2 linked regions of the Oreochromis niloticus genome follow. The protein of the gene in region 1 binds, or shares a complex with, the protein of each later gene. Links are inferred from orthologs where the notes say so. Each region holds a gene or a part of one and is shown on either strand. Other genes may lie near its edges. The genes, in order: sart3 and ccnt1.

Region 1 (12,396 bases):
TAGACAGTTGGCGTGTTTAGCTTACGTGTATAGGCTTGACAGATGCATATTTGTCTCTCTTATCTGATTTTATTTGATTAAATTACTCTGTCCTGTTGTTAAGTTAATGACCTTGAGTCTCTAATCTAAGCCTGAATTATGTGCCAATGCTTTTGTCATGCTGACATACTGTTTTCCGCCTAACCTCAACCACAGTTGCTTTCTTTTTGACACTTGAATTGTTTACAAAAAGACCGTTTTGTTTTGCATATATTTAATAAAGCTATCGAAAAAGATGTCTCTAAGTGCTGTAAATGAAGCAGCGTAAATGGCTGAAGCTACGCCAAATGAAGCACAGATACAACCCTGTGGAAACCTACAATTAGAAAAGGCGAGGAAGGTCCCGGAAAAAAAGAGGACAATCTCAACGTGCACATTATGTTCCACTTGGAAATCTGTAATTTTGACCTGTGTCCACACAGAAATCACTGGTAACTATTTTAAGGTAATTACCGAAATGCCAGATCTGTGATATCTGCTCTGTGATGATATAAGCTGTCTTCTCTTTTCACATTTCAAACCCCTGATCTGCAAAAGAAAAAAAAAACCCCAAAACCCACTGCCAGAGCTTTCTGATTGGCCAGGATGAAGCCGCTGGCACCATCACCTTGCAGGACTGCAGACGAAGGTACTCGAGCCTGGAGATGACGAGAGCCCCTTTTGTCCTTTGCTGGCAAATGTACAGAATTGTTTAATATTTCAATAGCAGTAATCCAGATACATACGGACCCTTTGGCACAAAACAAGAGCTCATGTATTGTTTATACAAATCTTGGGGACCCTGATTTGTTCCCATCAGAATCATGATAAGAAGTCGAATCCCTTTTGTTCCATATTTTGAGCAAGTAATGAAATATTGATGCTGTATGAAGAGTGGAACTCTTTCAGTTATGTATTTTAATATATCTTATTTCCAGTGTGACATGGATAAATCATGATGCCATCTGAAATCTGTTTAAAAAAAATGTAGAAAATTCATAAGAATGTTTTTTTTTTTTAATCCTTAAACATAAAACTCCTTTCAGGTCTTAAGTAGGTCAAACTGCCAAAGATCAAACAGGACATGATAGCACACCAGCTGAAAAGCAAGTGTAACCATGTGGTGGCTGAAACGTGAGCCCAGACAGAGCCTTACACCGGGCTCAGATTCCCTGCTCTTTTATCAATGAGGTGCTAAATAATTCGAGAAAATGCTACCCCCTTACTTTCACTCTTCCTTCCAGAAAGATGCAAACCACGGGACCACCCAGCGCCGCTCTCTTGTAGCACATCTTCACTAAAGTCACTAAGTTCAATAACCTCCACCTTAGCTGGGCTCCAACAGGAGAATATTTAGGACATCCTTTTTTTCATACCATTTTTTTTCTGAATGTCTTTTGTATTTTCAGCTTGTTCATAATAAAACAGCTGACGAATAAAAGGACTTCTCGGTCAGTTTGGATGGAGAAGATGATCAAGAACAGGTAACAGAGCTCCTTAAGGCTGTCATTAAACTTTGATGAGCATCTGCCTGGAATTATCAGCAACGTCGGTTATCTTTAGAGGGACGGTCGATCACTTAGGGAGCATGGGAAAGCACTCCTGCCTGTCTCTTTGGAGGAGCAGATAATACACAGAAAGAAGAATGGTAAGTGAGGCAGTTTTCACTCTTTGGCATCACTTTCTAACAAGTGACACCTTATCATGGGCTTTTAAGACGTAAGAAGTGGCTTTATAAATAGTTTTGGCAATTCCATGAATGGTTTTTACACTCTGCAGCTCTTTTCCATAAGGTCATTACATGTACCAGAGTGTGCTGGTGGAGTACTGGTGTTAATAAATGGTTCATTAACCTATAATAAAGCTGCTTTTGGCTGTTTCCTTATTCACAAGGGATTACCACAGCAGATGGCTCCACGTGTTTGTTTTGGCAGAGTTTCTATATCAGATGCACTTCCTGATGCAACCCCAGTGGGATTTGGCTGTCCTTCCTGGATCAAACCAGGGATCTTTCAGCTGCTTATTAACCTTTAATAAAGCCATATTATAACATTATACCCCTTCCTTTATAGAACTTTTAGAGGAACCATATCCTCTAAATGCATCTAACTGCTCTTCTGTCCTGCATTATTCTTGCAGTGAGTCATGCTTTGGTGCAGATGTGGTGTCCTGCTGGCTCTCTGCATCTGTCCTCTAGCCTGCCTTGCAGTGTCTCCCTGTCCTACTGGGTGCTGCTGCCCTCGCCCAGGATTTCTGGTTCTGTGTGAGTCACTAGGCCTGAGATCACTCCCTCGCTCGGTTCCTCTCAGTACCTCAGCTCTATCTGTGGCCAGAAACCAGCTCTGTAATGTGGACCACCAGCTCTGGCCCTTCTCCGGCCTCCAGGAGCTTAGCCTCAGTCACAATCTGCTAGCCCGCTTCCCTCGTGGCCTGCCTCCCAGCCTGGAGTCCCTGCAGCTGCAAGAAAACCGCATTACTTACATCACCTCAGGTGTCCTGAGGCAGCTGGGAAACCTCACTCGCCTGGACTTAGAGGACAACCGTATTCGTGCCATCCAGCCCGGGGCACTTCAGGGTCTCCACAAGCTGCAGGTCCTGACACTGAAGGGGAACAGGCTTACAAGTCTCCCCCTGAATCTTCCACCATCACTGACCCATTTAGACCTCTCAGAAAACTGCATCTCTGCCTTGGACCTGCCCTCACTGTCTGCTCTGGTCAACCTGCAGGTCCTGAAGATCAACAGCAACTGCCTGCGGTCAGTCCCAGAGAGCGCCTTCGACAGCCTGCCACGTCTCAGATCTGTGGACCTCACCAACAACCTGTGGGTGTGCGAGTGTGACATTCTATATCTGTACCGCTGGCTGCTGAGCGGTAGGCTTAAGATGGCCACAGACATTGTGTGCACAGAGCCTGATCATCTTGCCCACCGTCTGCTTCTGAATCTCTCTGTCGTGGCCATTTGTCCTCGTGTCCTGAAGCCAAATGACAGGACACATGAACGTGACCTCAGCTCTGCACAGGAGAGGACGCTAACAGCGCAGCCAGCAGAGAAAATATCAAAACTAACCACTAATGGACTGCTTTCCGAAGCTCTAAACAGTAATCAAGACTCTCCCAAGACACGTGTCTTGCACTACTCTTTAGAGACTCTTACCTATGAGGAGTGTTTATCCCTAAATAACAGTCAGTCAGTCAGCCCCTTCCATTTAAAGACTACTACTTCTCTCCCTGAGGAGGAACAGAGGTGCAGAGACAACATCACAGCTCGATACCCTCAGAGTAATGTAACCCCTGCTGAGGGGACACAGTTCTTGCTTTCCACACACAGAGATGCACTCGTGCCCACTCTCGTCCCACAGCCGTTCACTCAGCAGGCCACTGCAGCGATCATCTCTCTGCTGGTTGTGCTGTGTGTGTTAGTGGCTCTCGTAATGCTGGCAGTGCTGCTCGTGCTGAAAAAGGTGCTCGTGCGTCAGCAGAGGGTAGCTCCTGCTGATTCAGGATCAGCAGGATGACATTTACACACACACACTGAAAAGTCTTTTAATCTGTTTATTCACAGTAAGCAAAGCACCTCATACAAATTTTCTGAACTTTTTTTTGTATGTAAACTTTAACTGTTGACATTCTCATACCAAGTCTTTCATCTGGGACCTAAATTGTCTCACAAGTGAGCCAGATAGAGCCTCATAGCCAAAATATACAAACCCACACCCCTGCTTCATTAAAGATGTCTTTAATGCTGTGTGTATTAAAGTGTTAAGCTTCACCATGAAGTCATTGTTAATTAAACAATTCTAATTGTGTGATAAAAGCAAAAGAATCCATAAACGCTATTAACATCTGGCACTTGAACAATATGGGACCCTTGGCTTAAACTCAAGAGACTGATCCCACACCTGTGGAGAATTCCCCAACGGATGCAAGATCCAATGTGATGTGATTACAGCGACCCGTCTGCACTGCTCTGGCACTAGGAGAGGCATGATCCAACAATAGGATAAATCTATTATTATAGACAGTGAATAAAAGCATTAATTGCTGGCTTTAACACGTTCCTCCTTCTTGTCCTGTTGCTTTAGCCGGTAGTCTGACAGTGCTGCTTTTATGGCATCTTCTGCAAGCACTGAAAAAAAAAGAAGATTTTAGAGACACTATGAGCATAATATGGAAAACAAAAAGCATTCAGTTCATGATAACTGGGCGATTTGATTTCATTTCATATAAACATTATGTAGGGGTGATTAATACAGTCACTCATTCATTCATTCATCCATCCAATCTTCCATAGAGTGCAAGATGGGGTACACCATGAAGAGGTCACCAATCTGTTGCATGGCTAAGACACAGAAACAGAGCTATTCACACCATCATCAGTTAACCTATAGATGTGGTCAGAAGTTTACACTTGTCGTGGGGAGGAATGTCATGGTAATATGGGACTTTTAAAGATTTCTTTGAACTGTTCTTTTGAATTTATTTTGGACTTTCTCTGATTCACACACAGGGTTAAAAGGACACAAACGGGATCTGGTAACTGTGACTTTGTCATAGTCTGGAAGAAAACCCAAACTGTCACCCTCAGATGAGAGGAAATTGGTTAAGATGTTCAGAAACAACTCAGGGACCACTGAGGCTCAAGCCTGCTAAGAACTCATCAAGTCATTAAAGATTTTCCACCCCGGAAAAACAACAGTTCAAAGAAATCATTAAAAGCCCCAAATTACCATGAGATTCATGCCAATGATGAGTGGATGTAACGTGTGTTTGGACTGTGGAAGGAAACCAGAGTACCCAGAGAGAGCCAACACTGTTTAGAGATATATTTATTGTACGTGTAATCTCATAACACTGTTAAATATCACAAAAACAATACCTAGAGGTACAGCTACAATTTTCATAAAATCCAGTATCACTAGAACGTACAGGATTTTATCATCCCCATGGCTGAAATTATATGATTTATTACAGGAAACACCTGATCTGAAAGCATAAATGTAGGTGCTTTCAAACAGAGCAAGAGAAAGAATTTGTCTTGGGAAAAAAAAAAGAATGGTGTGCATGGCCCTGAAGCTATTTTGGACACTTAACAGCACATTTTGATCTTAAGTAGGTTGGACCAGGGATCTTTTTGTTGTAAAGCTGTTCAACTACATATTTAATCCCTGAGATAGCTTAATGTAAGAAGAAAAGTGCAATTTAAATCATATTTCTCAGGTTTTCTACACAATTAGGAAATGCTGATATATTGAATTTAAGAAATCGGCCAGCATGACACTTTGTGCTTAAGTGGTAAGAAATTGTTGTCTTTTTTGTTAACTGACCTAAAATATTTTGGTGTAGTATGAATGGCCACAGTGGAGATCCTTTTATTAGGAAAAGCTACAAAACTTGAAATGAAAATACAATTCACATTTTCCAGTGTGAGCCGGACTGAAGTTTTTGCTGGCCCGATTCTGCCCCCCGGGCCTTAGATTTGATATATGATATATATTATGACACCCCTGTCTTAAGAGATGTTAATAACGACTGTGAACTTACTTGAGCAGTGAAGCTTGACTGGAGGAAGGCAGAGTTCTTTGGCAATGTCTGTGTTCTTGATCTTCAGAGCATCGTCAACCTGTAGGGCAAAAGCAGATTCATGAGACCCTTTACAATAGAGTGGAGAAAACAGCACTTTTAGGGTCCATTTTTTGGTTGCCTGTACTTTGTTTGGTACTTTAACATACCGACTTCCCCTTCACCCACTCTGTTGCTAGAGAACTGGAAGCAATGGCCGATCCGCAGCCAAATGTTTTGAACTTTGCATCGATGATCTTTCCATTTTCATCCACTTGGATCTGCAAAGAGAACAGAGTCAAACATGGGAATTTCAAATACATGATAATGGATTGGTTTCTGTTACTGACTTCCAGTTTACCTGAAGTTTCATAACATCACCGCATGCCGGTGCACCCACCAATCCAGTCCCCACATTCTTGGAGTTTTTGTCCAGGGAGCCCACGTTTCTCGGGTTTTCATAGTGGTCCACAACCTTAGGGAGAGGCCACACTTATCAGAAAAAATATATATCTCTGTTCTCTTGGTGTAGCAGCTGACAGACAGGGCACTGTTACCAGTTGACAACAACACGATAAATGTCAGCTAACTCTTTCTAAGTAAGGTGACGTCAGCGGGTTTGGACGCATTTTCACTCGGTTACCTTTTTGTGGTACAAGCAGACAGCGCTCAGCTCCGGTTTGAAAATCCTCCTGCTGAAAAACAGCAGCAAGGACGAGGAGCTTCGTAGGCAGACGTTCGCCATGTTTCCAGCACCAACTGCGAACGGAAATCAACGAGTGAGCACGAGGAAGCACGAACGGCTTTTGTTGACAAACAAATAAGAGAAGAAGGTTTTACACAACTAGGGAGCGCCCACTAGCGGCCACGGGCGAGGTTAGACGGTGACCCGTGTTGACGGGCTCCGCCTCTCATCGTCCCGCTGGCTGCTAGCAGGCTGTTACCAGGCAGATAGCCTTTCCAACATGGCAGCGTCAAGCAACGCAGAGCAAACGCAGTTGCAAGATATGGAGGAGGAAGATGCAGGGATGGAGGAGAGGGAGATGGAATCGGACGAAGACGAGGAGGAAGGCATGGGAGTGGAAAATTCAGACGAAGACGAGGAGGACGATTCGTCAGAGGACGAGAAAGAAAATGAAGCCGAGATCCAGCGACTTGAGGAGCAGGTGATTAGCCAGCGTTAGCCGAGGGGCTAATGAGAATGAATGGGTGGTAAACACGGCCAGCCACAATCGGGTAGGCAGCGTCAAAGCGGCGAACTCCTCCGTCATGACATGGTCGAGTAAAGGCAGAAAATATACGTGGCGTTGGTAGCTCTCGTTAACCAAAAACATCTAAATATACAACCACGTCATTTACATAGCTGTCGTGATTAGCTGCCCTGCTAATGTGCGATGCTAGTAGTTCGCGTGCCTCGTATTCACACGCGCCTTTTTTCTTGCAGTCTCGGTCCACGGTGGGATCCCAGCGTTTAGTGTGGGTTAGAAACAAAGTACAGTACAAACAAAAACAGTACACGCTGTGCTAACTTTAATGAGCGTCACGTGATCAGTGGGTTTGACCCCTTCACATAACATTGAATCTGCTGTAGTCTTAAGTACGGAGAGTGCTGCTGCAGCTTCGCTGGTGACTGTGTAGTAGGTGTAGCAACCTACAAATACACTCAAATATAGATCCAACTGCATGACTGTACACGAGTCCCTCTGCGAGCATCAGTGTGTGGTACTGCTGACTGTACTGTGCTATATACAGAGATATGTTTTAAATATTCAGTCTCACTGATGTAGCACAAAAGTCCAACAGATCAAACTGCAACCCACGAAACTACCTGAATTTTCAGTCAACAGCTCAACAAAATATGAACATATGCTCTCATGAAGGAGTGGGTTGAGTTTTATAGTTTGTAGTCTTGCAGCTGTTAATAATAAAGAAGAACAACAACAATGTTATTACACTTTAAAAGAGAACTCTCATAGTTCATTACATGAATTATAAGTGAACTTTATTTTCTTTTGTGGTGGTAATAAATTGGAGGTAAACACATAAAATAAAGCATGGATTGTTTAGGATACACTTTGTTTAAGTGCAGGGATTTTTCTGCATATAACAGATTTGTATTTTCACCAAAGAGATCTTGGCCTGCCAACAAGCTTCATGAAAAATATTTTTAAATTCATAGAGATATATTAAATAAGGTAACACACTTTTCCTACATGCAAACCAATTGTGGCAGTTGATGTGTTCACCTAAGAAACAAAAGATCCCTGGTGGGATCCTGGGAGAGGTTGCGTCATGAACGGTAAAAATTCGGCCGAATCAAATATGCGGAGCTATCTGCTGTGGCGACCTCTTGTGAATGCGAGAACAGCTTAAAGTAGCTTTTACATGCCAACCGATTGTGATTTTGTGCCTACAAAACCCCTGAAGTGCATTGTCACATATCTCATTCCTTCTTCATCTTTGTGTAACTCCTCAGCTGTCCATCAACGCTTTCGACTACAACTGCCATGTGGATCTTATCAAGCTGCTCAAGCAAGAGGGGGAACTTTTCCGCCTGCGAAAGGCGAGGCAGAAGATGAGTGAGCTTTTCCCTCTCACTGAAGGTTGGTGCACGCCTGACATGCTTCTGGGGTTGGAGGAATAAGCGGCTCTGCATTATTTACAACTGAAACCTTGTTTTGTTTAATCCCCCAGAGATCTGGCTGGATTGGCTCAAGGATGAAATCCGTCTGACTGAGGAGGAGCCAAACCGAGAGAAAGTATATGAGCTGTTTGAGAGAGCTGTTAAAGACTATATCTGTGAGTGCGCAACACCATCGCCACCACCTTCCGGCCTGATGATTAGTAATTACACAATCCTAACATTTAACTTTACACACACAGGTCCCGATATCTGGCTTGAGTACGCGCAGTACTCGATCGGCGGTATGGGCTCACCGGGCGGAATCGACAGGGTGAGATCCATCTTTGAGAGGGCGGTGACAGCAGTGGGGCTTCACATGACCAAGGGACAGATGGTGTGGGAGGCGTACAGAGAGTTTGAGAACGCCATCCTGTCCACAGTGCAGGTTTGTGTTCCCGTCACTAGGACAGAGTTCACCATTCACACATAAGCTATGTTTGTGTTTTTGTATTGATTGTGTACATATGCCATATTGTCTTAGAAATTAAAAGCTAGTGTAAATAATTTTATTTCCATGTTATTGCTGTCAAATATAACACTTCTTCAGTTCAGATTGCTGACTTGAATTCTTTCCATGTTTGACTGAATGGCTTGTGCTTTAACACCATGTTCTCTGCTGGCTTTCCTCTCAGCCTCCCCCTGGCAGGATTCCCAGCCATGAGGAACAGGAGATGCTGAAGACCCAGCTTGAGCGAATCCATACACTGTTTCGCCGACAGTTGGCCATCCCTTTAATGGGTAAGCATGACGTGTCTTCTGGCCAGACTGGTTGCTGTAAAATGAGACAGATTCCTGTTGCGAGAGCCATATGTCAGAAATTACCCGGTTTAAAGAAAGTTATGACGCTGGCTTTTAGGATAAAATTAACATGTCAGGGTGACGAGTGCACTCCTCATTAGTTTACTAGAGAGGTAACCGGATGGTTTGGTATCGTGTTGTTTTTCTCTGAGTGGAGAGCCGTGCCGTTTCTGAAACATTTGAATCTCTAAATTTAAGTAAAGCAACAGATAAAGTAGAACATTTTGCAAAACTGAAAAATGACTATTGACTGTGTAATTATTTGCGGTGTTTGTATTTTTATATCCAATCTTGAAAGAGTAAATTTCCTGCAAAATCTGTGATAATTGTGCTCTGCTGCTTTGTAGACATGGAAGGCACCTACGCAGAATATGAGGAGTGGTCCGAACATGGCGTCCCTGAGACGGTTATGCATCAGTACAAGAAAGCTTTGCAGCAGATGGAGAAGTGCAAACCGTTTGAGGAGGCTCTGGTAATGCACTTTGCTAAATATGATGTCCATTCGTTCTGTGTAATGTTTTTAAATGATGTTGATCGTTTTTGTGAACACTGCTGTTGTTTTGCTGCAGATGGTAGCAGAAACTCCAAAGTTAGCAGAATATCAGGCCTACATCGACTTTGAACTAAAGGAGGGCGACCCAGCACGGATCCAGATAACCTTTGAGCGCGCTCTGTCAGAGAACTGCCTGGTGCCAGACATGTGGGCCAAATACACCATATACCTCGTGAGTTGTTGGTCACTGTTTGATGTGATGCCGTCTTTATCCCCCCCCCCGTCTAATGTATAAAACCTTGCTGTTCATCTCGTTCGTTTTTCAGACTGTTTTAACCATTTTTAACTATTTTTCTTTCTCTGTGATCGGCAGGATCGTCAGCTGAAGTTCAAAGACTTGGTTCTCTCCACTCATGAACGTGCAGTCAGGAACTGCCCCTGGACCATGGGACTGTGGAAGAGCTACCTGCTCGCTCTGGAGAGGCACGGAGCCGACCATCAGACCGTGTCCGGTAAGAACACGAGCGCAGCTCGAAGCTGTTCACACAAGAACCCCCCGCTGCCTTCAATATTGAAACTATTTGAACTCCTTTTTTTCTTCATAACAAATAGGACTGAAACAGATTGATAGGATTTTTCAGTGGAATTTAATTTGCATTCATTCTGAATGGATGTGCATTGGTTTTAGAGACAAACTGATAATTGTTCTCGTTATAAGTGATTATTTTGTTTATTTCATTTATTATAAAAAGAATTTACAAGTATTTGTGGAAGCAATTACTAACACAGGATGAATATTAACTTAGTTTGTTTATTCTGTTTTGTGGTTTCATTATTACTATGTTTGAGTTTAAAAAGATTGAGCTGTATGACTGATGAAATGTGGAAAAATGTAACCTTTCTTAACCTTGCCTGACTTCCAAGTATGTAAGAGTTTAAAAAAATGATTCGATGGACTTGGCTCCATCATTATAAGATCACCTAGGCCTGCACATTTTTGTGTTTATTTTTTCTAAGGAAGACCGGTCCTTATCACATTTATATTAAATGTGATGACAAAAAGGCAAAATTAGTCCACTCCATAATATGTCCTGCTCCCTGAAAAATACATGTGAGACGGATAAATATTTTTTTTTAACTTACAGTATAGTTATTTCTTTGTTTTCTGAAAAAAACCTGACTATCCAAATCTGATTTATTATGGCTTTTATGGTTTATGTCTACCACTGTAGCCCATAAAGAGTCATAAAACAGGCAATAGATGAAACTAAACACAACCCGAATTGTACCTTATTAAATCATTAGCATTATAAAGGATAATGAAAGACGTGTGCTTGTCTTTCATTCATTTTAAAACTACCTTGAATTTATTGAAAATACTAACAACCTTCTAGAGAAATGTTGTCGTCTGATGTGTATTTTTCTCTTTTGTCTTCCACGCAGATGTCTTTGAGAAGGCACTAAATGCAGGCTTCATTCAGGCTACTGATTACGTGGAAATTTGGCAGGCGTACCTCGACTACTTGAGGAGACGCGTGGATTTCAGTAAAGGTGAGAGCGTTTTTGTGTCATGAACATTTTGTACGTCAGGAAAAAAACAAAACACAACTCAAATAATGTATTTGATGATGTGTTACCTTGTGGGTTTTTTTGCAGAGTCAAGCAAAGAGTTAGAGGAATTACGAGCAGCCTTCTCTCGATCTCTGGACTACATGAAACACGATGTCGAAGAGCGTAAGCAGACGGCACTGACATCTGTTTTTTTGCTGTCTTCTTGTCCTGGTTTAGTTTTCACATTATTCACCTTCCTTTGTCACTGTAGGGTTTGGTGAAAGTGGTGATCCTTCTTGTATCATCATGCAGATCTGGGCACGGATAGAGGTAAGCGGTGTTACTATGACAACCGTTTTCAGGAGCATGCAGTGTGTAGTAGTGTTGTTGAATTGTGGCGAGTTAATCAGTTAGCACAGTCGAATGAGCCAGGTCAAATCATGTAACAAAAGAAGTAAGCTTCTTTATTTAAATTAGGTCTTAAATAAAGAGTTAATTTAGCTCCACAGTTTCCTACAGACATGTTTGAGTCACAGTAGAATCACTTGTAAAAATCACCTTTACCCTCTTTGTAATGAGATGGAGGGTAAATGCGTTCTCACTGACAACTTGGATACAGTAGTTATTGTGTGTGTCATATAGATGTATTTCCTTTTCCTTGTCAGGCGCTTCACTGCAAGAACATGCAGAAGGCCAGAGAACTGTGGGACAGCATCATGACAAAAGGAAACGCCAAGTATGCCAACATGTGGCTCGAGTACTACAACCTGGAAAGGTTTGTGAGTCTGTGACTTTGTCTTTGTCTCTTCTTCATTTACTTCTAAGTAGTACAATATATACACCCTACATTGTTGTGCATTGGTCTCAAGCCCACCACTCATTTTTTTAATATATTGCTACCAAGGAGACAGACTTTCCTGTAGATATTTTTAAAGCAGTCTCCGGGCTTCCTGAAGGTCTTTCAAAGATTCTCTTTGGACATTGGCTGCTTTCTCGGTCATTTTCAGTCCAGCTGCCCATAATCAGAAGAATGTCTTTATGTTGTTCAAGCGTTATTTCAATCTATGAAAAGAACCAAATATAACACAATTTGAAAGTTACAAAGTAGTAATTTTGCACAGACAAACAAGGTGATTTCCAGCAAGCTAGAACTTGGCATATCTTATCATGTCTGCCCTTAAAAAACAATGAAACTGGACAAGTGGATGACAACAGAAAAAGTGTCGGGCTTAAAAAAAACTATACAGAGCAGATGAACAGTATCTGAAAGTCAAGTCACGAAGACGTAGGAAC
Region 2 (12,995 bases), on another chromosome or scaffold:
AAGTTTTATGAATAGGCAATAACCTGCTTATCTTGCCAACAAAATCTGGGTATTGGCCTTCATGCTCAAGAAGTGGAGGTATATAAATAACCTGCTGGTCACATATGATTCTGTACAACCACAGAAAACATGCAAACATGTTTTTATGATGAATGATGGCATGTGGGCAGATAATAAAACAAACCAACGTTAAATATCCACCAATTTAGTTTAGAGGAATGCAATCGAAAGACAAGTTTAACATGATTAAATCAGACCAGAGTGAAGTGACAGCTACACTAGGGTTTACACTTTTAAAACATCCCCACAATTAGATATAAACAGATGAGCTATGAACTTTTATACGATGTTAAAACTCTGTATACTGTGCTTAGTAGGGTCTAGCAAATCTGGGAAAAAGTTTTTCCTGACATAATTTCTTGTCTTCTGAAAATTATACATTTCCATATATGATGCTTATTTCTTTGTCTTTGCATTTACCTGTGATCACCCTAAAAAAATGAACTCCTGAGGAAACACAATAAGGAAAGAGAAATAGTCTAGACAGATGCTCTTTTTGTTGGCATTTCCTTCATTGTGACCAAAGCGCACAGATGTTTCAACCGTTTGTGAACAGATGAATGTTCTTGCTATGAACTTAGTGTATCCATTCAAGAACCAAATATGAATATTTTACAACCATTTAAAACAATGACTGCAAGACATAAAAACTTAAAGTGAAAAGTATAAGCTTTTCCTAATTTACATCCTTTTTTTTTTTTTGCAAATTTGCAAATATAAAGGTTCCAATGTTTGTTTTAAACATTTTTTTTACATTTTTTTTTCCTCAAATCACCAAATAGCACAGCAAATATAACATATACATAAGGGATGAAGCCATTTTTATGGCTCACAAAAAAAAATAAAAAAGGAAAAAATAAAATAAAGTAAAAAATATATCGAAAAGATGGCTTTGGAGACATGCACTCTAACTAGGCTGTACAGTCTTAAAGAAATGACCATCTGTTCCAAAAGAACAGAGGTTTAACCCTACAAAAAGGTAGAAAAAGGGGACCTTTTTTCTTTTTTAAAATCATTTGATCAATAAATAACACCCTATAAAAACATTATAAAAAGAATCATTTAGAAGACCAACCAGGTATGTCATGGAAATTTTTCCAAACACATTGACATCCTCTAATTCCCGTCTTCTTGTCACATATCATTTGAATTTTTCAAAAAGAAAAAACAAAACACTATCTACACTTTCCCATAATTCTTTTTGTCTCACATTTTGCAAGTCCCATTATTGCCCCACGAGTACGCCATAAAATCCTTTGTTACCCCCAGTACATTTCTCTGCTGTCACACTGAAGACTATAAAATGTTGGGTGGCTGGAAAATATCATACAACACTTTATGTAACAAGATGATCAAGATGTCAAGTAAAATGTACATAATGTGGTTTCCTGATTAGAAACTTATTTGGGCAAAGGCGGCAGTGGGGGAGGCGGCTCCGTGGGCAGGGGAGGGGGCCTAGGGTTGTTTCCTCTGGAGCTGCTCGAGTACCGATAATCACCATACTGAGATCTGTAGTCAAACATAGACTGCTGGGACGGCTGCACACCCTGTGCACTCAGCAGTGAGTTTAGCATCTCAAAAGTGTCCTGGTACTCGTTGGACTGGGCTCCGCCAGCTGCACTGTGACCATTAGTGTCAGTTTTGTCGCTTTTGGAATGCGAATAGCTTCCTTGGTGGTGGGGGAGGCCCAGAGATGGAAGAATGTCAGAACCATGCCCCAAAATTTGTCCGGAGGAGGAAGACAGGGGAGGTAACTGGTAGGGATTCCTAGACTTGCTCACTTTGGAGGGTGGGTGAGATCCCGCTGAAGGATCCTGGGAGTGTGTCCTCTTGCGTGAGGCAGATGAGGATGAGGACGAGGATGAGGAGCTTGTTCTAGAGGAGTCACTTGGTACTTTTTTGCTGCTTCCCAGCGTGCCGCTGGAACTTGATGAATGTTTGTGTGAAGAAGAAAGTGAGGCACTACTGGAAGAGGAATGGTGGTGGTGAGAGTGATGATAATGGTGGTGGTGGTTAGAACGCTCCCTGTGCTTGTCCCTGCTTTTGCCATCCTCTCCTGAAGTCCCCCTCTGCTTGTCAGGCACTCGGATTTTGACTTTGATGTCTGGATCCTGGCCTCGACCACTGCTGCTATGTCCACTGCTTCCTCCTGATCCTCCAGCAACTGGGAAGCGCATTTTTAGAGAATCATGCCTCTCCTTCTCCAAGGGGATTTTAAGAATAATGGGTGATGGGTTGGACATGTCAGAGGAAGCGCTGGGTGGATGATGGTGATGCTGCTGCTTCTCCTTCCTCTGTTGCTGGCCAATGAGGGCCTGAGCTGCATTGGCATAATCTCTCTTTACGCTGGCCTCCATGTTCTCCAACTTTCTCTTTTGGGCAGCCAGGACGTCAGCATTCTTGGCACGGTACTCACTCAGCGACACCTTAGCTGGGGCGTGGACCTCATGGTTAGGCTGCTGCTGTGGTTGCTGTGACTGCTGCTCAGATCCACCTTGACCTTTTCCACTCCAAGTCTGAGCACTGCCAGAAGCATTCGTGTCCTTGTCGCCCACTGATGAGGAAGAGGAGGCAGAAGGTGGAGCAGAGAGGCTCATCAGGCCTGCCACAGTACTCTCTGATGAAGCCATGGAAATCATGCTGATCATGGTGTCCCTCTGGTCACCCTCCTCCTGGACTTTTGGCTTGGCTTTTGGTGTCTGTCCGCCAGCCTGGAAGAAGAAAAAAGTCAGTCAATGTCCACATTGAATCGGGAATTTTTAATAACAAAAAGGAGCAGGTAAATTTGTGTTGTACCTTCCAGTTGCGAATTCGCTTCAGTCGGCTGGGTGTTTTCTCCAGGATTTGCAGGAACTCGTGTGTAAGTTCTGGAAGTGGGGGAAAAAAAAAAAAAGTCAAATCAGCCCTTTAATTATCTAAACATTTTTTTCTTAAAGAGCATTTATTGCACATACCGTCCAGCAGCTCAAGGGTAACTGTAGGGTCGACATACTCCCACCAGTGTTTGCCATCTGTAGACACGGGGATCTCCCAGTTGGACCATTTGCAGGCAAGGTGGATGCACACACAGGCTACAACAGGTGGACTATACTGCAGGCAGAACGTTGTCAAGTGCAGGCTATATGGCATGATACGTCCAAGAAAAAAAGCAAACAGGGAAAGAGAAAACAGAAAATCAGTGTGTTGAGCTTTAACAAACCACACACAAACTTTGGTGAAAACCTAGCATTCACATAAGAAAGACTAAACCCTGTGTGTGTGTGTGTGTGCGTGTGTGTGTGTGCGTGTGTGTGCGCGTGCGTGTGTAAGAGAGACAGAGAGAGAGAACTATGGGTGAACTCTGAGCATACCTGTTGGTGGCCATAAAGTATGATGTTTGGGCCAAATCCTTGCTTGCTGGAACAACAGCAGAACAAAGAGAGAAAAAATTTATAGACACAGCAAAAACCTGAAGATAAAATTGAGCAAAACCAAAAAAATGATGCTCACCCCTGACAAGCTGAGTGCATTTGACAACATGTGTATGAGGATGATCGATGGTGATTTCAAAAGCTGTAATAGAAAGAGAAGAAAATGTAGGTAGACATTAATAAAAGAAATGCAAAATCAATTTATACTTATAATCCATATGGAATACAAATCCACTTCCCACTGGCAAAGATAACATTAACAAAGGCGCTGAAAACCAGAAAATTAGCATCGTGTTAAAAATCAAGTGGTGGGGAGTCAGAGTTGAGTGGAGTGTCACTTTTCATGGGAAAACATCCTGGACAACATGAAAATGTCAACACCTGAATATGAAAAAAAAAATTAATGGCATGTAAGAAGGGGAAAAAAGTTGTTTTGAGGCTCCCTTTTAAATGTCTTAAAAATACACAGGTGAAAAAGGTAAAATGTCAAAAGTTAGGGCTGACAAAAATGAAAAGGCTGAAACAGGAAATGTAAAAGTGGGTGCTTCGGTTGTGAAGCATAAATATCACTTCCAGTGCTGCTTACTGCAAACTGTGAATTGAAGTAAAACATGTTAACTATTCTTGTTCTCTGGGGGGGGAATTCAAGGGACCCAGTTCTTCCTTCCAAACTTACCCAAGGTCTGGAGAATTATGCTCTCAAGAATGACCAGGTCTTGGGCTTGTTGCAGGTAGGCCTGAGGTTGAGAGGACAGGCACGTTACTCACTGGGAGGCCGCCAATTGTTGAAAAACAAGAGCAACTGTACACGTTATGTGGCCGAGAATTTCTGATCATTTGTCTGAAAGGCTTTCTGGCATACATGTTTGTTGAAGAAGCCTCAGATATAAGTGATGAAAAGTGAAAGCTACATAGCAAGTACAGATGCTCGAGTTTTACAACTGCTAGACATCACATTGCCTGCATGACTGAAAACCTACACAGGCTAAGGTGTATTTTGCCTTTTACTCTCTCAACCCATGTAATCAAGCAGCCTTAACAGCTCAGAACAAATACGTGACAGAGTAAATGTTCTCAGATTACATGCAAGAAGATTGCCATTTGCCTTATTGTAAGAATTTTTTTTCTGCTTCAAAAAACTCCCTCGGACAATTGCAGTACAATACTTACATCACTGCGAACATCAGGTGAAGGCTCCTGAGGATTGAGGCAGGCATGGGCCACCTTGATGACATGCTCCAGCTTTCGAGGCTGCTCCTCTACCTTTGCTGCCAGGAACAGAGCAGCGGGTGCGATGACCTGGAAAGGGGCAGTGGAGATTTAAAAAGTTGATTCACATTAAGTACAATCATTTCCATGATTCAAGCAAGAAAAGCATTACTTACATTTCTGTGAAATCTAGTGAAGGACTGGATCATGTAGAAGCGATGCATGTACACAATGGCTGTATTAATTGTAAGTTGAGAGCTGATACATGGCAGTTAAGGAAAAAAGGTAAACAGTGGGAGCAAATTACATAACATCTGTAATGACTGCATACTTTGAAAATGGGCTGGAAACGTCGGTATACGTGTGAAATAAAATAATTATAAAATAGTTATAAGGATAACTATAGGTTTAATATTGCTAATTAGGTATAAAATATAATGTAGGTAAGCCTGTTATCGTATCAGCCACAGAATAACAAAGTTAAACAACACTTTAGCCACAGGCTAGCTGGGATAAGACTCTTGATAACACACAAAGCGATGTTTTCTAAAACTAACACATCTAAAACACTTTTTCTGAAACATCCTACATTACTGTATTTCTAAAGGTGTCCCACTGTCCTTCTAATTTGCGTTTATTCGTTGATATTTACCAGTGGTGAAGCTAACGCTTAACATGCTAACGTCCTGGAGGCCGCCGACTACACAGGCCTCTGCGGCCCAAGGGTTAGCCCACTACGCCGCTATCGTGTAACGCTTGTAAGCTCACGTACACCTCGTAAAACCAAATTCCACAGCGTTAAACAGACGTGGAAGACAAAAACAAACGTGAAACCGTCGAACAAAAGACAACAACAACCTAACAAACACCAGCCACACTCCTTCTCCTAGCCGGCTCGGGAGAGAAGCTAAAGTTAGAGAGCTAACAAGAGCTCACGACAAAAGGATACACATTGAGCCGCTGTCCCATGTCCTGGAGCAGGTTCGCCGCCTGTTGTCTGTACGAGAGCTCCTTGTCGGGATCAAGTCCAGCTCGCCGAGATGGGCTGTTGTCGATCTGCTGCCGGGTGAAGTACCATTTGTTGTTACTGCTTGCGGGGAGAGAGCGAAACGAAGCCGCCATCACTGAGAAGGACGAGAGTTTAAAATTTCTGCGCGTCACAGGAACACACGTCACGCCGGGCGGCGACGTCAGCGCGCCTCCAGCGACGGTCCAGCAGAGGTCTCCAAAGCGCAGAGGGGTCTCAAAACTTAACTTAAAGTACTTAAAGTCTCATACAATAACGATCTCTCCTGTTATAACACTGTAATAGCCAAAAGCGAAACCTCCGGTAAGCTAGCTACAGCCTCTGTGCTCCATACACCGCACAGCCCCAGAGGTGAATCTCCTTGTCCTGCATCAGTATACGCCCACTTTTCTTCCTAGGGTACTGACTATAAGTGCTCATACCTTTACTCATGGTGCTACCTTACCACAAGCCCCTTCCCAAACCCCGCCCCCTAGCTGTAAACTTCAAGTAGGATTCGGAATGGAATCTAATAACAATGCTATTACTTAAAAAAAAAAAAAAAACTATTGCGAAACACAGTCTAAATCAAAATTTTAAAAGTGCTGCATTAATAAACTTGCTATTATCATTGATTTCACAAAACCAGTGCATTAGGCACCTAGGCCCGCCCCCATGGGTGAGAAGTTTAAGCCCACCATCTGGCACATAAGAGGAGAAGACAAGTTGCAACAAATAGCTGAAGTAGGAAGTCGAATATTAAAGTTCTCAGTAAGAATCTTCAACTGAAACTTTAAAGTCAGAGATCCCCCACCAGCCCCATCCTACCAGTCCAAGACTGGCAGTGTACATAAAGAGTAGTAAAACTGTAAAACCTTTAATCTGTACAGTACAGCATTGACTAGGCTCTATCCTTCAGTGTGTTGCAACTATATTATCTATGCCTTGCTAAGCAGTAAAAGAAATCAGGTTTATCCTTGGTTTTCAGACTTTAATAAAAAGTAAAATGCCCAACTCTGGAGTGACGTTACTCCCAGTTTTGACCTTTGACTTCCAAGCCATATGGGACACAGCAAGTCATTTACTGCTTTTGAACTTGCTTAACAAACAAGACCAGTGCATTGGTAGGCTTGATGTCTTGATGCATGGTTGGTCATCCAAGCATGCATCAAGGTAATGCCAAAAAGTTGATTCTGAAAATAAATCCTGACGAACAGAATGAACTTACTAGGATTTCCCTACCTGCATAATTGAGCATGCACTAAGACATTTTAACTCACACTGGCAAGGACTCCCACTCAAATTGGTCCCCAAGTTTTGAAACATCTGTCCTGACCAGAGTGTACTATACTGGCAAAGTTCTCTGTTATCAAACTTATAATTGTAATTGAACTCAAATCTACAGACACGCTATCCCAGTTTCTCCTGGAAGACTCCACACAGCACATCATTTCACCCCAGTACAGGAGAATTTTAAGGCCAATACTGCAGGACATGTGGCGACAAAATCCTTAAGGCCCAGTCAAGCAGGCCTGGAGAATAATAAAACACCCTCTGCCAATTACCAGTTGTTAGGGATGAATGTGTATTCCCCAGCACGTACTATTGAATTTTAGTTGGAGGCCACAAGGAGGGGAGTGCATCGGGGGGTGTCATCAACCAGTCTCCAGGCTTGTGTGTCTGGCTTTTGAAAACATGCTAACGCTGGGCAATAAATGGTGGCCAGTTATATGATTAGCCACGGTCACTTAGAGAGCTACATTCCCTTCCATTTTCCCTCATATGCCTCTTTGGTCAGCCTCTAATATCACAGTCTTAGTCTATCTGTCCATAACCAAATAGTGCTATGTTGGAAAGGTCTATGCTAACACTAACCTCGTCCCGACAGCCATGCTGTCCCAGATTTTTTTTCTGGGATTTTCCCTTCAGCACTAAAGATTTCTGCAGTACAAAAATCCGTGTACATGAGATGATGCTGTAGGAGGAATAACAATCTAGTTAATCACCTGACTTGATTAACACTTGACATGATCAAGGCAAATGATCAAAGAGGTTAATCATCTTCCTTGATTAATATGATTATCTACCCTAATGGATGATGAGTGAAACTTCTCCTGAATAGGTGCTCAAAAGCTAAACAATACCATATCAGTCCTCCTCAATTTAATCAGTTTGCACAACAAAGCAATGATCGTAATGTTTCAGGAACTGGGTAACCCCTTCTCAGATGAGAGCACCAGTCATGTTCAGCATGACACAAGGGACGTCGTGGGTGAAAGTCTCAAGATTGTTAAAGTATCAGGGTAGTCACGATACTCAGTATTAGTTGGCTTGAAAAACAGACTAGTTTTCAAAAAATTGAACATAATAATAAATAAGTTTTTACAAAAAGTCACCCACAAGACAGTCAAGTCTTTTCAAGCGAACTCTGAGTTATTTATTAGAATATGCATTTTTGTTTTATCTAGAAATTAAGATATGGATGCATTAGTAACCTTAAGGCATGAAATGATGCCTCACTTGATCTCTGTTAAATGATTGCCTCTTTAGCCCATCAAACCCCTACAGTTATGTAAAGAATCAACATGAGATATGAGGCTTCTTAGCCAGATGCCCTTCAGTGTGGAGGAGTAGCAGCTCTACTTTTCATCTTATCTCTATGAATCCAGACACTTTATAGGGAAGCTCATTTCTGCCACTTGTATCACTAATCTTTCAGTCACTAACCAACCACAAGTGTTTTAGACATTGCAGCCAATTTACAGAAAAGGAAGGCTGTTGTTGTATCTGACACTACCTTATGATTTGAAGGCAGCGGTAAACACACAGCATGGGGAACTTGGAAAGCCTTCCTCAAGGTTATATAAACATTCCTGTCTTTTTCAGAACTGGTGGTATCACAGCCGACACCATTCACCAAATCAAAAGATTTTTGGTACTTCTTTCTGAGAGGAAAAGGAAAAGGACAGCACACGTGTTAACTAGGCTATAAAGTTTGGTTTGTCGTACACTAACACTGTTGTAAGAGCTGCTAATTGAACATTTGCAGTCACTAAATTGTAGCTAAACAGAACAATATGAGTAGTGATAGATCCATTCTGGACAACACTTAAAGAAGCATCCAAACTATACAAGGAACTGCTCAAATGCACCTTCCTGTCATGTCTGACAAATTTACAAATTAAAACACTCATAAATATTGTGTTTTACATCTGATTGCCTCAAGGCCTTATGACATCCTCCACACTACGCACTTGAACATATAAAAGTGATGAGCACCTCTTTCATTGAATTTTGAGTGTTTTAATCAACCTTGTTACATCTGTGGTGTTCCCAGTCAAAAGTGACTGCCATAGGAAATGAATGGGAATCCACCCCCCTTTGGCCTCTGACCCCCTGAACGACCCACTGAACTGAATTTGGTGGTGAAAAATGTTTCTTATGTTAATTTTAAGAGCTGTTAAAACTGATTGGTCAATTCTGACTGGGAACACTAAAAAGCATAAATACTTGCAAATATTTTCCCTCCAGTATTGAAATTCACAATAATACATAAGTGGGCCATTGCAGTGATTTTCTATGACGACATATGTTGAGGTTGCATCGTTTTCTTTTGTTTACAAATCTGTAATGTGTTACTTGCTGCATTTAGCCTTATAACATTTACTGGTATTCATTAGATATTTAAACCATATAAACAAACACCACTGTAGAAACTACAGGATTTTACCTTAAAAAATACTCTCAAACAAGCACTTTCTGGCCTTGCAGAGGATCTGACTCTAACCTGTTGGATGTACCGAATAAGTCAAAATCCATTAACATGCATGTTAACCCAACCCTACCTGGGTTAGGTTAACAAGACCCGGTGGACTCTTATAAGATTATCATTAGTATCCATAATTACAGGGTTATTGCAATAACCTTGTAGTGCCATAGTAATGTTGAAATATTGTAAATGTGTGTTTTTTTAATGACAAACAAGCCATCTTGTTAGATGGCTACTGGAGTTTTGGTTAGAGCATGTGTATTATATTTAACTGAAAGAATGATAAAAATCTAATAAGCAAGATTTCACAGTTTTTGACACGTCTATTAAGATACAGTTTATGTGTTTACCTTAGCACATCTGCATCTGGAACAAGTCACAAGCAGCACTTCACCTGGAAATGAGTGCCATAAATCAAGCAGCCTACTCCCCATCATACACTGAGGAGACTGCATGCTCGCTGAGTATACATTTGACAAATAGCCATATTCTGTATAACCCTCCTTTCGGACTCTTAGAAGGATCATAATTTACATTTGATTGTGATTGTTCCTGCTGTAAGTGTGTCTTTCTTCTTCTTCAGTCATCTGAGATCAGATTAGTTATTAAAGTCTCTCAGTTTATGTATTTCACTTGCATTTATTACCCATCACTATAACAGTGATATAAAGGTTAGACCAGCAATAGAGAAAAAGTGACAATTTATACTAGTAGTTATTTATATTCTACTTATATTTATACTATATAGCCTCTGATGGCTGATTATTGATCACAGGTGTCAAAGTAAATTATTAGGAATTTCAATAAAACAATAAAACAACTAACTGCAGTTGATGTTTCTTAAATCATTGCAAACAGACAAATTTCTCAAAAAAATATCAGAGAAGTGTCCAATAAACTGTGGGAGTCACTATGGAAGACCATTTAAAAGTGGGACTGCCTTTTCTAACACAAAAATTAGAAATCATTTTTGAAATTACATTAACTGTTAAAAAAAATATATATATGTGCGTGCATGCGTACATATGTTTTAAGGGGTCACATAACAATTTTATCGCACACCAATATTTTGGAGCACGTGGATACAAAAAGAAAAAGGTTTTATAAAAAGATCGCAAATTGAACCATTAAGTCATGTTGATCAGGTTCCATTACAGTGTGTTCAGTCAGTGGTGAAACATATAATTCCTCCGTTTTTTTATTGAAAATTAAATCTGGTAATTTGGCCAATATTCTCAAGGATTTCACCTTAATATAAAAGTTGAAAAGGTCAATTTTAACATGTCAAAAACAAACCCCATATTTCCTGTTGAGAGGTCATCTGCAGCCTACCACTTTATTTTCTTTCTTTTTTCTTTTTTGTACCCACTTCTCTGCTAATATCCAGGCAGGGAATGCTGAGACCTCTTAATCCTTTTCATTTTTCTTTCATTTAGCTAGCAGGAGCTTTCACAGTGAAACAGATGTGCTTGGTGACAGACTGAAAAGCCATGCAGGTGTCAAATAATTGACGAGTACTAATGGTGAAAGCCGACTTCTGATTGTATTGTATTTGGGTGGTCGAGGCTGTCTCTGTCCCGCAGCAGTTTTTGCTGCATATCAATACAGAGTTGTTCAGACTGATCGCCCTCATTGTGTCATGAAACTTCAAGCGGGAGCGGCCTCTTTCTGTAGGTGTGAGGGGGGGTTTCAGTTTGTTAGGGCACATTAGCAGGAGTGATGAGGTGATCATCAGGAAGTTTAAAATACAGATAACTCTGAGTGGACATGATTTTTAACAGTGAGCACTCATTTACACAACAAAACTTATCACTGAACTGCAGGTATTAGACTGTTATTTAAATGTACTCACTGTGAAAATGCTGATTTTGTTAATGTTAACGTTGGTCTTGTTCGCTTTTTCTTCTCCTTTCAGTTTCTCGTCTGCAAACAGTTAGAAATGCAGCAGCAAAGCTTCTTGCTGGTTTTAGGGGTGAATCATTCCAATCACAGTTCTCTGTAGTGGCTTCCTGTATGTTTTATAATTGATTTTAGGATTTTTCCGACCACTTTTAAAACTTTTCTTGATTTGATTGCAACATACACAGCAGAAATGTTGCCCAAATGAGCCTTCAAGTTGTTAAAAAGTGTTGATTTTCTTCAAATCTTCTTTATCGCGGCTTATTGGTTTTCACTCATCTGGATTTTTGGTCATTCCTGTTACAACCGCTTTACTGCTTTTGTTTTTCAGACAGTGTTTGTGTTGTTATTTGAGATTTTACAGTGCAGCTAAAAACTCTAGAATGTGTTAATGCAGCAACATTTTATCAAAATGGGACAGAAATATTATTTCTTCATCCTCCATCAGTTGTAAGCGAGATGTTTTAAACTGTTATCCCTATCACAACATTGTTTGATATTATGGAAAGAAAGAAAATAGGAAGGATCAAAGTGACCCAAACTTCACTGAAACCAAACTTTTAATGAGTAAAGAATTGATCCTTTGATAATTAAACCTCTCTGGAGCTGTTTTACATTAAAACCAGCTCAGAATGACTGTTTCATTTGAAAGATATCTACATAGTCTATTTTTAGACTGTAATATGACTAATAACTTAATGTTAGGTGAAAAAAATATTCCCTGTAAAGCACCAGCAGAATGTGCTTGATATAGGAAAGCAAAAATGTTAAAACAGGAAAAACTCAGAGACAAACTCAAATTGCTCTTGTAATTCTTACTTTAAAGGTTATGGTAAATTATTATTACTTGCATTTTATAGTGACCCAAAAACTCATTTTACTTTAGCAAAATTGAAATTAAATACTTTATATCGCCCGTGCGTTTAGCACTCAGACAAGGACTGTCGGCTGCATCCTATGACGTGTGTCAGGCGCCCCCTTTGGTGAAGCTATCTGACTCCAATCCCTGTGCTTCATCAGTGCTCACCAGGGGGTAATTACACTCTCAAAGCTCTTTGTCATGTGAATCAATACTCCAGATACAGATTTGCCTTGTTCTGTTATCTCTGTGAAATATGTAGATAAACCTTACAATCATACAACTTCTAACTGGGGTCTCTAACTGGCCTGACTCTGGGTCAAAAATAACATTTCTTAATGTTCACACACTTGGAGAGAAATATGAACACACAACTCCAGCCATATTTAAAGATAATAAACAACTGAGCAAAATACAAACTACAATTCGACAGAATTTGTTCTTTAGTACTAAAATGGTCCACACTGATGATCAAACTCCAGTCACAACAGTGATGAGACGAGGACGCAGGTATCAAAAAATTGAAAACAATTTATTTTAAATCACAAAATGTTATAAAATGGACAGATAACTGAAGCAGTGTATCAGTGATGCCCCCACCACCCTCCAAAAAAAACAATCAGACTATCTGATCAATCAAAAGTACAGTTAAACACACAGTTAGAACAAATTACAGTCAGTAATCCTCCTTTTCCTACTTCTACTGTAAACTACTAGATGTTTTAATCGGTTATCACTTCCATAACAGGTTTCCTCATAACTGGAACAGTCAACAAAAACATG

The links.
Region 2: sart3 (region 1) and ccnt1 share a complex: the UniProt entries of both Homo sapiens proteins name them as parts of the 7SK snRNP complex. The link is inferred for Oreochromis niloticus from reciprocal best matches to the Homo sapiens genes SART3 and CCNT1.

The regions. Positions count from the first base shown.
Region 1 is NC_031977.2:18,323,662-18,336,057, forward strand, and holds the start of sart3 (squamous cell carcinoma antigen recognized by T-cells 3), read left to right. Parts: upstream 1-6,517; 5' UTR 6,518-6,543; coding exon 6,544-6,744; intron 6,745-8,054; coding exon 8,055-8,181; intron 8,182-8,272; coding exon 8,273-8,377; intron 8,378-8,461; coding exon 8,462-8,646; intron 8,647-8,893; coding exon 8,894-8,999; intron 9,000-9,406; coding exon 9,407-9,531; intron 9,532-9,628; coding exon 9,629-9,784; intron 9,785-9,925; coding exon 9,926-10,064; intron 10,065-10,995; coding exon 10,996-11,103; intron 11,104-11,208; coding exon 11,209-11,286; intron 11,287-11,374; coding exon 11,375-11,433; intron 11,434-11,768; coding exon 11,769-11,878; intron 11,879-12,396. Other genes in the region: tmem119a (leucine-rich repeat transmembrane protein FLRT3), read left to right, coding at 2,164-3,534; iscua (iron-sulfur cluster assembly enzyme ISCU), read right to left, coding at 4,054-4,145, 5,561-5,639, 5,749-5,859, 5,940-6,053, 6,222-6,323. UniProt on the Homo sapiens protein: U6 snRNP-binding protein that functions as a recycling factor of the splicing machinery. Promotes the initial reassembly of U4 and U6 snRNPs following their ejection from the spliceosome during its maturation.
Region 2 is NC_031984.2:6,828,857-6,841,851, forward strand, and holds the start of ccnt1 (cyclin-T1), read right to left. Parts: upstream 6,081-12,995; 5' UTR 5,802-6,080; coding exon 5,629-5,801; intron 4,938-5,628; coding exon 4,856-4,937; intron 4,770-4,855; coding exon 4,641-4,769; intron 4,208-4,640; coding exon 4,147-4,207; intron 3,613-4,146; coding exon 3,550-3,612; intron 3,466-3,549; coding exon 3,411-3,465; intron 3,179-3,410; coding exon 3,015-3,178; intron 2,928-3,014; coding exon 2,857-2,927; intron 2,772-2,856; coding exon 1,461-2,771; 3' UTR 1-1,460. UniProt on the Homo sapiens protein: Regulatory subunit of the cyclin-dependent kinase pair (CDK9/cyclin-T1) complex, also called positive transcription elongation factor B (P-TEFb), which facilitates the transition from abortive to productive elongation by phosphorylating the CTD (C-terminal domain) of the large subunit of RNA polymerase II (RNA Pol II).